4 linked regions of the Cricetulus griseus genome follow. The protein of the gene in region 3 interacts with the protein of the main gene of each other region in a biochemical or structural test. Links are inferred from orthologs where the notes say so. Each region holds a gene or a part of one and is shown on either strand. Other genes may lie near its edges. The genes, in order: Xiap, Csn2, Htra2 and Mapk12.

The links.
Region 1: the proteins of Htra2 (region 3) and Xiap form a complex in vitro, tested with the Homo sapiens proteins (10 studies listed by BioGRID and IntAct, with this or other methods). The link is inferred for Cricetulus griseus from reciprocal best matches to the Homo sapiens genes HTRA2 and XIAP.
Region 2: of the proteins of Htra2 (region 3) and Csn2, one has a biochemical effect on the other in vitro, tested with the Homo sapiens proteins (2 studies listed by BioGRID). The link is inferred for Cricetulus griseus from reciprocal best matches to the Homo sapiens genes HTRA2 and CSN2.
Region 4: of the proteins of Htra2 (region 3) and Mapk12, one has a biochemical effect on the other in vitro, tested with the Homo sapiens proteins (2 studies listed by BioGRID and IntAct, with this or other methods). The link is inferred for Cricetulus griseus from reciprocal best matches to the Homo sapiens genes HTRA2 and MAPK12.

The regions. Positions count from the first base shown.
Region 1 is NC_048604.1:25,903,396-25,906,958, forward strand, and holds part of Xiap (baculoviral IAP repeat-containing protein 4), read right to left. Parts: intron 2,716-3,563; coding exon 2,515-2,715; intron 1-2,514.
Region 2 is NW_023276807.1:152,937,182-152,941,183, forward strand, and holds the start of Csn2 (beta-casein), read right to left. Parts: upstream 2,829-4,002; coding exon 2,757-2,828; intron 2,065-2,756; coding exon 2,041-2,064; intron 886-2,040; coding exon 862-885; intron 778-861; coding exon 736-777; intron 1-735. UniProt on the Homo sapiens protein: Important role in determination of the surface properties of the casein micelles.
Region 3 is NC_048601.1:74,225,781-74,229,925, forward strand, and holds the start of Htra2 (serine protease HTRA2, mitochondrial), read right to left. Parts: upstream 2,845-4,145; 5' UTR 2,806-2,844; coding exon 2,330-2,805; intron 2,225-2,329; coding exon 2,020-2,224; intron 1,931-2,019; coding exon 1,736-1,930; intron 1,480-1,735; coding exon 1,447-1,479; intron 1,250-1,446; coding exon 1,144-1,249; intron 1,011-1,143; coding exon 941-1,010; intron 200-940; coding exon 104-199; intron 6-103; coding exon 1-5. Other genes in the region: Aup1 (ancient ubiquitous protein 1), read left to right, coding at 3,059-3,195, 3,274-3,411, 3,491-3,641, 3,853-4,037.
Region 4 is NC_048595.1:385,892,157-385,896,351, forward strand, and holds the start of Mapk12 (mitogen-activated protein kinase 12), read right to left. Parts: upstream 2,831-4,195; coding exon 2,706-2,830; intron 2,616-2,705; coding exon 2,486-2,615; intron 1-2,485. UniProt on the Homo sapiens protein: Serine/threonine kinase which acts as an essential component of the MAP kinase signal transduction pathway.

The sequences.
Region 1 (3,563 bases), on a different chromosome or scaffold from region 3:
TACAGCCTCTCCCCCTGATTATGGAGATTATAAATGTGGATCACTGGCTTTCTCTACAAAATATAGAGTATTAGGAAGTATTTTAATTCAAAGCCTACTTAACAGTAAAACCCTCTCTTGTTTTCATATATGAACAGCTGAAGAACACTTAAAACCAAACTGTTTCAGTTACAAAACTTAGATTTTACCCACAACAGTAAAAGCCTCTGTTGTTCTTTGTCTAAAATATTCTAACCCAAACAACAGTAGTGTTTGGGTTAGAACCTCAACACTTGGGAAACAGAAGCAGGTAGCTCTCTGAGTTTGAGGTCAGCATGGTCTACAAAGTGAGTTCCAGCAGAGCAAGATCCCATCTCAAACAATCAAAAGAAATACTCATACTTTTAAAATCAAGGCTGGGGATAATTGTCTAGTATACACAAGGTCCTAGGTTCAATCCCAAACAACCCATAAACTAGGTATAATGTTGCATGCCTGTAATCCCAGAACTTGGGAGGCAGTGGTAGGAGGAACAGAAATTCAAGGTCATCCTCATCTATTAAGTAGTTCAAAACCAGGCTGTGTTAGAAACACTATCTCAAAAAAAAATAATTAAAGTGTGATTCCTGTACCAGATCTTCCAAGATTAGGCCAACAAACAACCTGTCATGTAAAGGGGAGAAGCTCATAGAGCCTCACTCTTCCCTAAGAATTCATACACAGTTAATGGTTATCGAAGACATTTTATTTAAACTTACAGATACTGAAAGATTATCCATTAAAAAACAAGGTGGCACCCAAGGAATAACGCCTGAGGTTAACTTCTGGCCTTTACATATACGAGCATACACACATACAAATAAATTATATATATATCAATCAATCATTGGGTCACAATGGGTGGGGGGAAGGAATTAGAAGGGCATTAGTGGAAGGAATGGGGGTAACTGTAAGTACATATGTACATGTATGACAACACCCAGAAACCAACCTATCTATCCATCCATCCATCATCCATCCATCCATCCACCCACCCACCCACCCACCCACCCACATGTAATTGAGGCATTTAAAAACGGATCAAGTATAGAAATGTTTTAAGAAACTGGAGAAGGCCGGGCAGTGGTGGCACACGCCTTTAATCCCAGCACTCGGGAGGCAGAGGCAGGCAGATCTCTGTGAGTTCGAGACCAGCCTGGTCTACAAGAGCTAGTTCCAGAACAGCCTCCAAAGCCACAGAGAAACCCTGTCTCGAAAAACAAAAAAAACTAAAACAAAACAAAACAAAACTGGAGAAATGAGGGGTGTGGCTCATTGGTAGAGTACTTGCTTAACATGTAATCAGGTCCTGAGCCAAACATACAGCACTAAAAAAAGGAGGGGTATTAAAACCAACTAGGTTTCTGATGATTTAGTGAATTACATTTGTCAAGTGTGATAACAGTGTGATATGGACTGAATGTTTGTGTTCCTAACATTCATATGTTGCAGCTTTAATGTTCCACATAGTGATGTTCAGAGGAAGGGCTTTAGGAAGTATAGTAATGAGCTATTGAACAATGCTTGGGTAAACCAGAAAACATGTATTTGTTCCAGAAGATCACAAGTGAACTGAAAAAATCCTATCATGTAGTAATGTTTCAGCCAGACTAATGCTATGGCATAATGACTCATGTTTGTGATGATGCTGGCATTAACCAACCTCCTGAGTTGCTAGTCAGACGAAAGCACAGCATACAGTTAATGGTTTATATACTTCCTTACATACTTTTTATGAGAATATACTCCTTCATATAAATAAAACTACCATGAAACAATATGCCATATCATGTCAGCAGAAGCCTCATGGAACATATCATGTTCACAAAGTAGCAGGATTGCATCAAGAACCCAGATCAAGTGGTTGACATATGCCATCTATGTTTGTATAAGTATATTTGATGACATTCATTCAACTATGAGATTGTTTAACAATGCATTTCTCACAATGTATCTTCATTGTTAAGCAATGCTCGAATACAATTAGGTTTATATAAAGTCATGAGCATGAGAACTCCTGGGAGAATTAGCATTCTTGTAAGTAAAGAAGAAAGACCTGAGAGGTTATACACACTACTTTGGGAAGGCAACTATCTGCAGGAAGACCTAGATTTTGGCCTTCTCAGTCTTTGAGAAACAAATGCATTTTGTTTAAGGTACATGTTTTATGGAATTTTGTTATAATAGCCCAAGAAACACAGCACTGAGGGCATAATGAAAAAATAGCCTTCTATGTTGAGTATATCAAAGTATTCGTAGATGCTGATACACAGGATGCCTTATATTTCCTTTGAAGTGCTAAGGCCAGAAAGATAGAAGATCAGAATCAAGATGGGAAAGAGTTGCTTATTATTGAAGCTGATTCACTGTTCTTTCTACTTCTGTGTATGTTTGAAATTTATCGTAATAAGAGTAAAAATATTTATGCCAAGGGGTATTAGAAAAAGGAAATGAATGGGCTGCAAAGTTATCTTTGTTTAAAAAAACAATGCATACCTTTCTGCAATGAAGTCTGACTTGACTCATCCTGTGTATTATCTTTCTGAGCACTCACTAGATCTGCAATCAGAACCTCAAGGGACAGATAGCTGCTCCCAGATGTTTGGATCTTTTCTTCCATTGTTTTCTTAATGTCCCTGAAACTGAATCCCATTCGTATAGCTTCTTGTACCATAGGATTCTGGAAGATGGTATCATCTGAAATCAAAGTTGGGTGGAGAAAGAACATAGCAGACACAAGTATTTTCATTAACATGACTAAACAGTAAAACAGTTTAGGGCTGTAAGACTATGATATGGCTGAGGAGTAGTTTAGTGGTAGAGTGTTTGCCTATTTTGTGTGTTGTGTTGTTGTGGCTCTGATTCCCAAACTTGTAAAGAAAAATGCAAGATAGGTAAAACAGGTAAGAAAAGTAACCAGGGGATGAGGAAAGGGCTGTTGGAAGAGTACTTGCCTAGTATACTTGCAGCCCTGGTGTTTAAACCCCAGCAAAACATTAACCTAGTATGGTAGTGCAGGTCTATGACAAACTAGAAGGACTAGGAGTTCGAGGTCATATGCAGCTATCTACCAAATTCAAGGCCAGCCTAGGATGCACTAGACCCCGTTGCAAAACAATAAAGATTGATGCACTCATACATGAAACAATATAGACTCCTGAGGCTACATAGATGACTCCACATATATTAAATGTCCAAAACCAGTATTTGTCAGGGCCAGCAGTAGGAAAATGGAGAATGACTGCTGATGGATGTGTATAAGGTTTCTTTCTGACGTGATGACATTAAATAGTGATGGTTGTACAACCTGGTGAATACACTAAAAAGATGCTACATTTTATAATTTATCAAGTTAGATTTTGCTGTTTGAGTTATATTTTAACTTACAAATATTAATCCAATCCCAGAGCAAGAATCTCATTAGTCATATAAAGAAAAGTGTGCATTTTAAGGATGTTTAAACACCAAACATTCTCTAGAAATATTATAGAACCTTTGTTTTTGTGGGCTGGAACTGAACTTTTATATACTAGATAAACATACCA
Region 2 (4,002 bases), on a different chromosome or scaffold from region 3:
AAATAGTTTTCTTAAACTTTTCAAGATGTATCAATTTTTAAAATTTTAATTTGACTTGAAAAATGTGAGCAACAAGCAATTTACTGAGGAAAACAAACTATCAAAGTTCAACTATTATGTAAGTGTGATTTAATAGTGGAACTTGACACTATTCAGAAAAGCATTGATTTGAAGGCAACCTCTTCTACTATACAGCTTAAGCAGTGGTCCAATCAGTTGTTCCATATCTCACTCCACTTATCTTTGAACTAGAAATGCCCTTAAGACTAGGTAAACATAAAGTACAAATGTTTTCATAAACCAAATGTGAATTAAAACCATTAACTCTACTAAAGGCCAATTAATTGCATTCATGGAAAAAAATTAAGATTGTGTTCAGCTTACAGGTGAAGAAAATGAACTATAAAGAGACTAATAAGCAATATTATTCTTCTGGCAGGTGTTCAGTATAGGATTTCTGCCACATTCTCAATGTGTCCTTTCATCATCATATTCATTTAGAAAATAAAAAGGACATTGTTTCTACTGGGGAAATGCTTATGTTAATTATTAAGAACAGATAATACCACTAGTAACTGCAATCATGATTTAGAAAATACATTGACACTTGAGTATGCTTTCATAGCACTGGTGGTATATGACCACTGTTTGCTATGAACATACATGCTATAATTATTTTCTGGCATTCATTACACATCACAAAACCAAGACATAAACTCTTCAAGAGCAATTTACCCTTGCTTGCAGCTGTTCCATTTGTCCAACCATCTGAAGTTTCTGTTAGAAACAAAGTGTACATTAAAAATCTCAAAACTTTTATCTTCATGAATAAATCATGGATATTAAATATAATGGGTTTACCTTACTGATGCTTTCAGAAGATTCCTTCAGAAAAATAAAAAAAATAATTAATTTTTACTGAGTAAATAGTATTTTCAATGGGTATTAAAATTAAGGTATCTGGTAAGCTATTTTAATAGGTTACTAATAGGAAAATTGATGAAATCTTATATTTAAACTATCTAAAACATTTTGTATAAGCCTATTGTATACAAGAAAGATGAGTGTCATCAAGAGAGAAAAGTGAATGAGTGAGCACAGTATATAAAGAGACATCTAAGCAATGTTAATTCCCTTTACAACCATAGTTCTTTCTCTGGCTACAAATGATCTTTAAATCCCATTTAATTCTTAAAACCAAACACAGAAACAGAGTTGAAAATACAGTCTAATGACAGCTAAGAGTACTTATTATAGTACTTGCTAATATACTAGCCTCCAAATAAACTATGAGAAACAAACACTTCCTCTGAGCATTTGTAGAATTCTGAAAAGAAATGTATATAATTGTATTCACTAATAAACAAATGATAACACATACAAATAAATAGTTCAAGGTAAAGACTGAGTGTATCTATTTGATACACTCAGGTACATTTAGGACTATATTGCATCTTACTTTTTTATTTACCTAATGACAACTTTAATAACCAAATGCATCCTTTTGCAAACAGGCCTACCCAGTATAGCACATGTATGTATTTCTATTGGTATCTGTCTTTAGTTTGGACTGTAGCTACTAGCCAATGAGCAATCCATAAAAAGCACATAGTAATAATAAAAATGCATGTCAAATTAGGGAGAGCTCTTGGCAGAGAATACGATTGTGAGCTTCTCAAATAAAAAGGTGTAGAAGAGGCAGTTAAAAATTTCAAATAAGAAACTAACTTGGAAAATTCTAATTATGCAGCTATCTAGATATTTTTCTTCCCAATACAATGCACAGCATATTTACCAAACAGGAATATGTTATAGTGTGGCTAACACAATGTAACTCAACAGAAAAGAAGCACTTTGGTGTTCTAAGTCTACAAGTTGCCTCTGAGACAGAATTGCTTTCCCTCACTGCTGGAAATGCTCTCAGTATGCAAAAACATTAGTAATACAAATGTGTTAATTTATAGATCCAATTAGGACTTCCAGATCATTAAAAATATAGTTATTTTAGGATTAAAATTTTTTCTCAATAAAACCTCTTACCTCAGAGGATATGCTGAGTGATTCCTTTTGTAAAAAGAAATAAAAGTACTTATTAGTGACAAAATCTACCTTGCTACTAAATATCCTTCCTATTTCATTTTTATGTCATCTACCTCTTTCAGAAACTTAAAAACCAAAAAAGTTATAAGCCTTTTAGAATCTTGAAAACACATTTACTCTCTCTAATAATTTAATAATTTTTATTGGCACATTCCTACATTGGATGAACTTGGGGAATTTTTGATGAGTGAGGAAAAAAGAAGTTACTTTAATTTCTACTAGGCATTTTTTTATTATGCCTACAAGTCTACCACAATTCTTGAATATGTTCCTTCCTCTGAATTTCCCTTTGGGCAGACACAGTAAGACTTGACCTGATTATCAAAGAAATGCATGCACTTTATCACCAGAATGAGATACTGAAGCCACGTGTGTGAGTCTACTTCTGTGGAGTTATATTTACTTGATGTATTTCTATTTTCTTGTTTTACTTCTTGTCTGTTTTACTTTTCATTTGGAACTGGTGGTCCAATAACACAATAAGCATTTGTTCCAGTTTTGAGAGCCTATAGGAACTTTGGGACAACAAAACTTTGTGACTCTCAAAGAAGCATTGATTAAATAAACAGATCTGAAGCTCTCCATTAATTACACACTGAGCCATCACTACTGTTACTGTCTACAAGTGAGAGGACCGTTCACTACATCTTAATTACATAGGAAGCTTCTTTACCCACCTCACTAGCAAGAGCAAGTGCCACAAGGCAGGAAAGTATGAAGACCTTCATGGCTGTCAGGTCCTGTGAATGAAAAGATGAACGAGTTGTAAGGGATGAGTCAATTAAAATCTACTCTGGCTCCTAAATATCCTATGTCTAACATCAAATTCAGACTTCAGCAGCTACCAGCAGTATTTTCTGCTCACAGCTCTCTTCCTTTCTTCTTTGTTAGCACTCTATTGTTAATGGGAGTATGGGCGCCTTACAAAACTATGAAGAAGTCATGACTATGGAACCCTTTTAATGAAAAAACTATTCAGCATTTCCAGATTATGAAGACATCAGCACTAGGGAGCCTCACTTCTAGAGTGAAATAATAGACTGTGCATAAACTGTTGTGTTGCTGGTGAGTGATCTCAGCATGAAAAATAAAAATTTAGATATGTTTACAAAGCATTCTTTCCAATACTTGACGGTGGAAAATTATTCCATTAGTAAAAAGCTGGTTTGGGTTTTTTGGATGGATGCTGCATAATTCATTAAGAACCTTTCCTTGTCTAAAGACTCCTCCATGGGTTTCCATATAATTTAATTGTCTTAGTTTAAAAGAAATTTGTACCCTTGTAGATTATGCATGTAGGGAGAATCCCACTGCAATTCTTATATTTTATCCTTACCATTTTATGTATCCATCTTTAAACTGGAACTTTGTTTTTACCTGGCACACTATAAGCCACTTTTCTTTCAACTCATCTTATTTCCATAATCATGGTTTCAAAGTAATATCTAATCTTCCTACAATTATTTTACAAACAGAAGACTTTGTCTCTATTTTTACAATTGTTAATATCTCACATGTAAAACATTATGAGCTAGATCAAGAATTCCAAGACTCTGGACAAGTTTTACGGTTGTAATCTTCTTGTGTACAAAACATGTAATTTGTTGCTTCTAATTGTTGCCCAAGAAATATCAATCTTTCCATGATATAATTTGAGTACATTTTATTACTAAAGAACAGCAAATCAAATAAGATAGCTTATTAAAGAAGTCAATCCTTAGTCTCTTCTTTATACCATTCACTGGCCTTGTATTTATTGTTACATGTTCTTGTTTTCATAAAGCCAATAGCCATTGTAATTTTTACCAAATCTTTCTAGACATTTCTATATTTTAAGCCTTGCTTTTAAAATAATCTCATTACTTCTTAAATATCTAATTTCAAAAAACTGTAATTATATTA
Region 3 (4,145 bases):
CAGCCCTGTGGAGGATGAACATGGCAAGGAAGGAGTACACAGCTGCGTTCAAGGATACATGCACCCCATTCCACCCCACCTCACAGAGCAGGCTTTCCATCACCTGTGTGCAGGGGAGCCCAGGATAACTTTATGGATGAGGACACCATGCTGAACATCAGGGAAGCTTGGTTCTCGGAGCTGTAGTTCAACAAGGATGCTGAAAGGGCACAGACCACCCTGTTAGGTATACCCAGGCCCTCTCTCATCCTGACAGTTCACTTTTTTGGCCTTCTAGCGCTTAGGAAGTGGGAAAAACACATGAAAGATAGCTAATTCCAAATGATACAGTGTTAAACTACATGTCTGTCATTCTACTTTAAGGAAGGGGTAGAACTTAAGCTGAGCCTAAAAGGATGGGTCCTATTAACCATATGAAATAAGAAGGTATTAAGACATAGAAGTGAGCTGGGTGGTGGTGGGCTTTAATCCCAACACTCAGGAGACAGAGGCAGGCAGATCTCTGTGATTTCAAGTCCAGCCTGGTCTACAGAGCAAATTTCAAGACAGCTAAGGCTTCACAGAGAAACCCTATCCTGGGGGTGGCAGGGGGACAGGGGTGGGGAGGAGGGGGGGGGACAACACACAGGTATGGAAAATCAAAGTAATCCAGAAGAAGCAACAAGGCAAGTCTTCAAGGTAATCAGAGAGAGTTGGAAATAGAAATAGCTCTTTTAATGCTAGATCAATGAAGTCTCTAAATCACAGCAGTAACATGACGCAATCAATCTAGTAAAAAGGTACAAGATGCAATAGGATGAAAAAGTTATGATGAGAGGGAACAGCTCTTGTGACAACAACTCACCGTAGATAGACAGACATGAAAACAAAACCCATAACAGAATCCACCTGTAAGGCACAGACACACTTGTGGTCCTACATATCATGATCCCTAATATACCTGGGAGTCAGAGTCAGCATCATCACTCCAATGTAGCGGCGCTGGGACCCACTGATTCCAAACCAGGAATCTGTAAAAAGAGGGCAAATGAGCCCACCCAGCTACATCCTTCTTTCCCTTACCTCCTGCCAGTAAAGCCCTCTCCAGCAAGTCCCAATGAACCGCCCCTCCCCTATGTCCCATCATAAGTAAGAAAGGCTCACTTTTCTTCTCCCCGCGGTGCAGAAACTCCCTAAGGCGATCAGAAGGGATGGCAAAGGAGATTCCAGCTGTCACCTTCATGGTGTTCACTCCAATCACCTCCCCATCCTGCAGGGACACAGCCCTCTGTCCCCTAGCCCACACAGATGGCAGAGTAGCAAAGATTTGGGGGCAGGGGTCTGATTGGATACGAGGAGATAAACAAGAAACTACAGAAACTTAACTAAAAGTCCTTGAATGTTAGAAACACCCAACCTTCCCACACTGACCTGGCGTATGGATTCTTAGAAGAGCATGGCACTCACCAGGTTAACTAGGGGGCCTCCAGAATTTCCAAACTGTGGGATAAGATGAAAGAAAACATCAAAGAGATCTGGAATTCTATGCCTCTGGGAATTCTCTCACTGTAGGCATAACCAGGGTATAGGGAAATTCTTCAGATTCTGTTCCCAGCCCATGAACTAGAGTGGCTGCATTTTGCAGTCCAACGTCTAATATAGGCCCAGCTACATTGGAGTTGGTGCACACACCAGACAGACAGCCATTCTCCCCAGCTCCCACCCAGCTCCAAACTTCTCTCATATCAGGACGCACATCAATAGCTGCATCGGTCTGAATGTATTCCACGTTGTTTTGAGGGAGTCCGAGGTCCCTGGCTGGACGCTGAGCAGAGCTGACAATACCAGATGTGATCGTGTTCTGCAGTGCAAAGGGACTTCCCATGGCAACAACAAACTCCCCTTGCCGGACATCAGCAGAGCGGCCGAGGGGCAGTGTGGGAAGAGGCTCCTTAAGGGAAACGAGTACGCCAAAACTGGTCATTTTAAGACGGGAGCAAGTAAACAGCTGCCATCAGATCCGGCCTACTCCATTCCCACCTTGGTCTGAATCCTCAACGTGGCAATGTCCGCTACAGGATCCACAGCTGTAACCACGGCCTCGTATGTGTCTCCACTAGGCAGCCGCACTCGCACTCGGCGCCGGTCAGCCACCACGTGGGCGTTGGTAACGATGAGCCCATCTGAAGCCACTACGAATCCTGAGCCGTTTGAGATGGGGACTTCGCGGCCTGAGAAAGGGTGCCTGGGATGGGGGAAAGCACCGGTTACACTTCTGCTTTCCACCCCATCCTGCTCACTTGCCTTAGGGCAGTTGGTTTCAACACCTCCCGGTCAACTTCACCATTACCGATCCAGGATTTCGATATAGACCACGGCTGGGGCTGTCTTCTCCACCACATCTGCGATGAAATTGTACTGGCTCCGGGGAGAGCTGGGCGGCGGAGCGGGGACAGCGGCCAGCACCGCGGGAGGACCCCGCCCCCAGCCCCACAACAGCAGCAACATTGCTCCCCCTGCGCCCACCGCCACCGCCAGCCATTCGCGCCGACGGGGGCCGGGGCTCCTGCGGGCCTCCTGGGCACTGGAGCCTGCAGTCCCCACGGCCAGCCGTGCCCAGAGATCTGGGGTCCCAGACGTCAGACATGCCCGTGATGCAAGGACCCCCACAGGCACCCGGGCCGGGAGAGGGTCGGGACTTCCTAACGTCAGCAGAGCCTGAAGGTCAGGGGTAAAAAGGGGGCCCTTCCCCCAGAAGATGCCCCCCAAAGCCCGCCAAGCCCGAAGGCTCCAGCCTGCACCCCGCCCCGCCTTCAGCGCAGCCATCAGCTCCGCCTCGGCTCTCTCCTTGCCCGCCCTACTCAGAGGCGGTGCCCTGAAGCCCAGCAAGCCGACTGGGAGAAGCGAGGCACGCCGGTATCTGTCCGGTGCATGCCGGGAATTGTAGTTCTTTCAGGACGCGTTGTCCGGGGCGAACACATACACGCAGACTTTACGCCTCCCGGGGGCCGCAAGGCATGCTGGGAGCGCTTGCCCTTCCGGGGCGCCTCTGGACCTCCGGTTCTGGCATCCCCCGCGGATGCCCAAAGACTCCGCCTTCCCAGGAGTCCCCGCGGCCCTGCGAAGATGGCGGCGACACCGGCCCTGCTTTCCTGAGGCGGCTGCGATGGAACCTCCTCCAGCTCCGGGGCCGGAGCGGCTCTTTGACTCGCACCGGTAAGCGCTGCGGAGGGAAGAGGCCGGTCAGCGCGTTCTCTCGGCTTCGGCGCCTGATCGCGTCGCCTCTCGCCGCAGGCTCCCGAGCGACGGCTTCCTGCTGCTCGCGCTGCTGCTCTACGCTCCGGTCGGCCTGTGTCTCCTGGTTCTGCGCCTCTTCCTAGGGCTCCACGTCTTCCTGGTCAGCTGTGCTCTGCCCGACAGCGTCCTCCGCAGGTGCGGACTGCGGTGCCCCGGGAGCATCGGGGCTGGGCCTGGGTCAAGACCGCACAGTCACTGCCGCCTGTGTCCCCAGGTTCGTGGTGCGGACCATGTGTGCAGTGCTGGGGCTCGTGGCCCGGCAGGAGGACTCCGGACTCCGGGATCACCGCGTCAGGGTCCTTATTTCCAACCATGTCACACCTTTTGACCACAACATAGTCAACCTGCTCACCACCTGTAGCACCGTGAGTGGGGGCGAGGCCGAGAGCGCCACCGGGTGGCTCCCCAGGCCCGAGCTCAGTGCTCACCTCTACCCATTAGGGTTCTCTTGGGGAACACCGATCTTTTCCCTCACCCCATAAGCACCACCCCACGTGTTACCTTTTTTCTTCTTTCCTGTTTGACATCCCCCCCCCCCCCCGTTCTCTCCTTGCTCTCTCTCCTCCCTGCTCTCAGCCTCTACTCAATAGCCCCCCCAGCTTTGTGTGCTGGTCTCGGGGCTTCATGGAGATGGATAGGCGGGTGGAGTTGGTGGAGTCACTCAAGAAATTCTGTGCTTCCACAAGGCTTCCGCCCACACCTTTGCTGCTCTTCCCTGAGGAAGAGGCTACCAATGGCAGAGAGGGGCTGCTGCGTTTCAGGTGGGTAAGCACAGATCTCTGACTCCAGTTTAGTGGACTGTGTCAAGCTCCTGGGTGAACCTGCTCCAGTTCATTTCCTGTCTGTCCACTTTTAGTTCTGTCCCCTAA
Region 4 (4,195 bases), on a different chromosome or scaffold from region 3:
CCCTGGTACATTTGCCCACAGACACAATCTATTTTTAGATGCTGACAGCCGGGATACTCTGGGGGGAGGTGCAGTCTCAAGTCTAGGTTGACTCCAGGCTTCTGAGCAATCCAACCCCTTAGTCCCCCCCCCCTTTTACTCCTCCTCAATGAAGCAGACCCAAGACCAAAGTGGGGACAGTCCCTTGGGAGGAACAAATACCTAGTAGGTTCTTCCCGGGGCCATCCCCTGGCTATCTAGGCCAAGGAGAAGCACCAATTTAAACACAGCTTCTGGTTGTGGGAGTTGGACAACAGATGGACAATGTGACATCAGTTTCCCAGTACTTGGGAGGGGGACCGGAACTCTGGGGTCAAGAGAGGCCTCCCTGATGAGTGCTGCATACCCAACTATCAGGAGGGACGAGTGAAAGAACAAAGAGAGGCAGGGTGCCTGATGGCCAAAGTAGGACAGAAAACACCTTCAGAGTAAGGAACAGAGAAGAAGTCCAAATAGCTAAAGCCCAGGCCAATACAGAACCAAGGAGAAGGCAGAAGGAGCCAAAAGAAGGCCTCAAACTCACATCCCAGAGGAAGATTTGGCTTTGCTCCACAGAGCTGCTATGGAAGGAAACAAAGATAAAATGCTGAGGCTGAGCAGTGGTGACACACACCTGTAATCCCAGCACTCAGGAGGCAGAGGCAGGTGGATCTCTGTGCATTTGAGGCCAGCCTGATCTACAGAGTGAGTTCCAAGACAACCAGAGTTGTTACACAGAGGAAACCCTGTCTCAAAAAACCAAAGAGTGAAAAAAAAAAAAAAAAGATAGGTATATACTCTGGATTTCAGTGAAAGGACAAATAGAATGAGGCAAGAATAGACAGGAGGTAGAGGGCAGCTGAGTGATCACTTTAGGCATGGCCAAAGTTGGGAGTAAGAACATGGACAGGAAAGGCTTGGGGGCAGATAAACCACAGATGTGACCTGAGAGCTTAGTAGAATATATAAGGAATAGGGTCCTAGAGGTCAAGGTAAGTCCACCAAAGGCATAAGACTTCTGCACTTTTGTGGTTTAGATGTGACCCAGAGCCAAGGACCAGAGCTTGAGGAGAAAGGGAAGAAGACTAGAGCTGGATCTGTGGCAGCCCCATTTCTGGTAAGTAGAGCATACAGCCTGTCCAAACCTCAGTTTCCACACGAGAAGGGAGATACAATGGCAGCTTCCCAGAAGGTGCTGAGGAATCCTGAAAGCTAGCACACCCAGGCAAGGGTTATGGGTTGACCCACAGACTCACTCAGGAGTGGGGAGTGAATGAAGAAGCCCACAACCCTTGGCTGGAGAAAGGTTCGGGATAAGTAGGTGGCTAGGTGGGATTGGGCTTGAGGATAGGGGTGGCTACACCCATGAGAACAAAGCCTTTTACTGTTTTGTCTGTTTTGGTTTTTCAAGACAGGGTTTCTCTGTGTAGCCTTAGCTATCCTGGAACTCACTCTGTAGACCAGGCTGGCCTTGAAATCACAGAGATCCACCTGCCTCTGCCTCCCAAGTTGTTTGATTGTTTTGTTTTTTATAACTGTTTACAGATTTATGGGGAAGTGGGGAGGCAGACAAAGCAGGGCTGACGTCCATCTTAATCAGGCTTCATGAAGAAAAGAAATAAAGGTCCAACACATCAACCAAGAGTGGCAATGACGAAGCAAGTTTGCTGTTAGACACAGGGAGATCATTGTTCCATGGGGTTACTGACTCTGATGACCCAGGAGATTAAAACATACTTCAGGACTAGTGCAACTCCCCAGATGTCAAGTGAGGGGGAATGGAACTCACAGCCTCAGGAAGAACCATATGAAGACAAAGCCCCCAGCTGAGAGGATTCTGATGGCTAGCAAGGCTGATATGAGAGGCACAAGGGCAGCCATGTGCAGTATCCTACTATGGGCAGGTGAAATCGGAAATGCGATGCTGACAGAAGAAATACACACCCACAGTGGTGACTGTAACTCTCTGTTCCTTAAACCCTGCTCTTCTCCTTAAACCCCGTATCCATAGAGACTGGAGGCTTTGGGGTGATAGAGCCAGGGTGCATAATTCTAGTGACCTGCCTGGCTGGAAGTGGGCAAGAGAAGGCCTAGGGTGGGGAAGAGACGCCCCTTCCAGGAAAATCCTCTTCCCACCAACCTGAATGGAGACAGGGTTTGGAGTAAGACTTGAGGAGCCCTTAGGACTAGAACATACCCTGACCACTGCCTGGGCCGAGAAAGTAGAGGTGGACGGAAGATGAAACCAAGCCACTGAAGCCGGGCATGAACTTGCAGTGTCGCTCAGAAAGGGGTCTGGAATCTGTCTCCACTTCCCTCCTGGAAGCTGCTAATAGCTTTTTCAAGCTGGAGGCTAACTAGGTACCAGGCTTCAGGAAGCAGAGGTAGTGGACAGGATTGCAGGGGAGGGCAGGATGAGAAGTGGCCAGTGCACAATGTCCGCATCTGGGGCGGGCGTTGGACTCACGTTCTCGTGGCGCATATGTTTGAGGAGGCGCAGCTCTCTGTAGGCGCGCTTGGCAAACAGCTCCGACTGGAAGGGCCGGTACAACTTCTTGATGGCCACCTTGTTACCAGTGCGACTGTCTATTGCAGAGCTGCGGGGCGGACAGCTTGGCTAGAGAACCCGCCCCGTAATCGCCAGCCGCCGCCTGCCCTGCCTGCTGCCCCGCCCGGCGAACGCTCACCACACTGCACCATAGGCACCAGAGCCAACGGGCTGCAGGTCCTGGTACACGGCGCGCACCTCCCAGGCCGTTTTGGTCACCTCCTGGCGATAAAAGCCCTTGCGGGCGGGTGGCGGGGAGCTCATCCCCGACTGGAGCACCGCGCCCCAGGACCCGACCCAAGATCAGGGGCTCAGCCCGTGCGCCCCGGGTCACTGCGTGGAGGGCGGGCTCCTCACTGCCCGCCCGCCCGCCTTCGGGGCTTTCCCTTGCGGGCTCTTCTCTTGGGGTCGTCACCCTGAACTCTCTGTAACCGCCAACACCCACCCGGCCCTTGTCTCTGGCCAGCGAAGTGGTTCCTCCCGGCCCACTGACCAACCGGGCCCCCGAGCCCTGAGCACGTGACACCCCCGTCTGCCCTCCGGCCCCTGCGGAAACCCGAGGAGGCCTCTGGGGTTGGGCGGAAGGCTTGGGAAGGGAGGGCGGGGGAGAGGGGGAACTGCCCCATAGCTCTCTCGCGACCTGGGGCGGGAGGTGGCGCTGAAACACCCTGGATGGCCTCTATCCCTCTATCCTCACTAGACATCTCGGCCCTGGGCTCTTAGCAGGTGCTTCTCTGGATTCCAACCTTTCCTGTCCTTCCAGAACGCCGGGCCCATTCTAGGCAACTTGAGCTCACCAACTTTTACTCCATCCCCAGGTCAGGTCCACCTGCCATTTACCAATCACACCCCATCCCAATTGTTTTTCTGTTCCTGGTCAACTCTTCTTTCCCAAGGATGCCCCGCCCCTGGAGCTGATCCATTCATCTCTTCTATGAAGGAAGTATTTGGTTCTGTGTCCCAGACATCTCAGGTTGCGTACCCAACCCCATTGTGGCCACTAGCTCTCAGTTTCCTAATCTAGGAACCAGAGGTATTGGTCATACAGACCTTTCTAGGGCCTCTACACCTCTGTTCCCAGCCTTGGCCCCTACCTGGTATATGGAGTGCCTGCTTCAAGCAAAGACTAGGAGTGGCCCCTCTATCTATTCCACCTGTTATCCAGCTTAGCCTTCAAAGCCCGGAATGAGCTAAAGGCATGCCTGCTCCCAGGAAAAAGAGGGGCTTCTATGTGAACTTTCAGCCTGATGCTTCCATGTGAGCTTTCTCTCTGGGGTCTGTCCTAGACCTGAACCAGATGCTCCCAGAGGGTAAAGCCACCATCCTTCCCACAGCCTAGCGATCAAAGGCCATTCCAGGATCCCACTGGGTTGATGAGTAGTAACAAGATCCCCCAGAAGGCTCTTCCCCTCCCTCCGTGCCTGCCTGCCTGCCTGCTGCCATGAATCAGCAGCTCAAGGCCAGCCAGGGCAGCTTTGCGCCTGGGCTGCTGCTAGTGGCACATTCACAAGCAACCACGAGTGAGCAGGGGAAGCCAGGCCACTCAAGCCACATCTGCCTGTATCCTGTGTCCTTAATGCCCTTCATGCCTCTGGCCACCCACCAATATTCTTCCAAAATCTCCCCAGT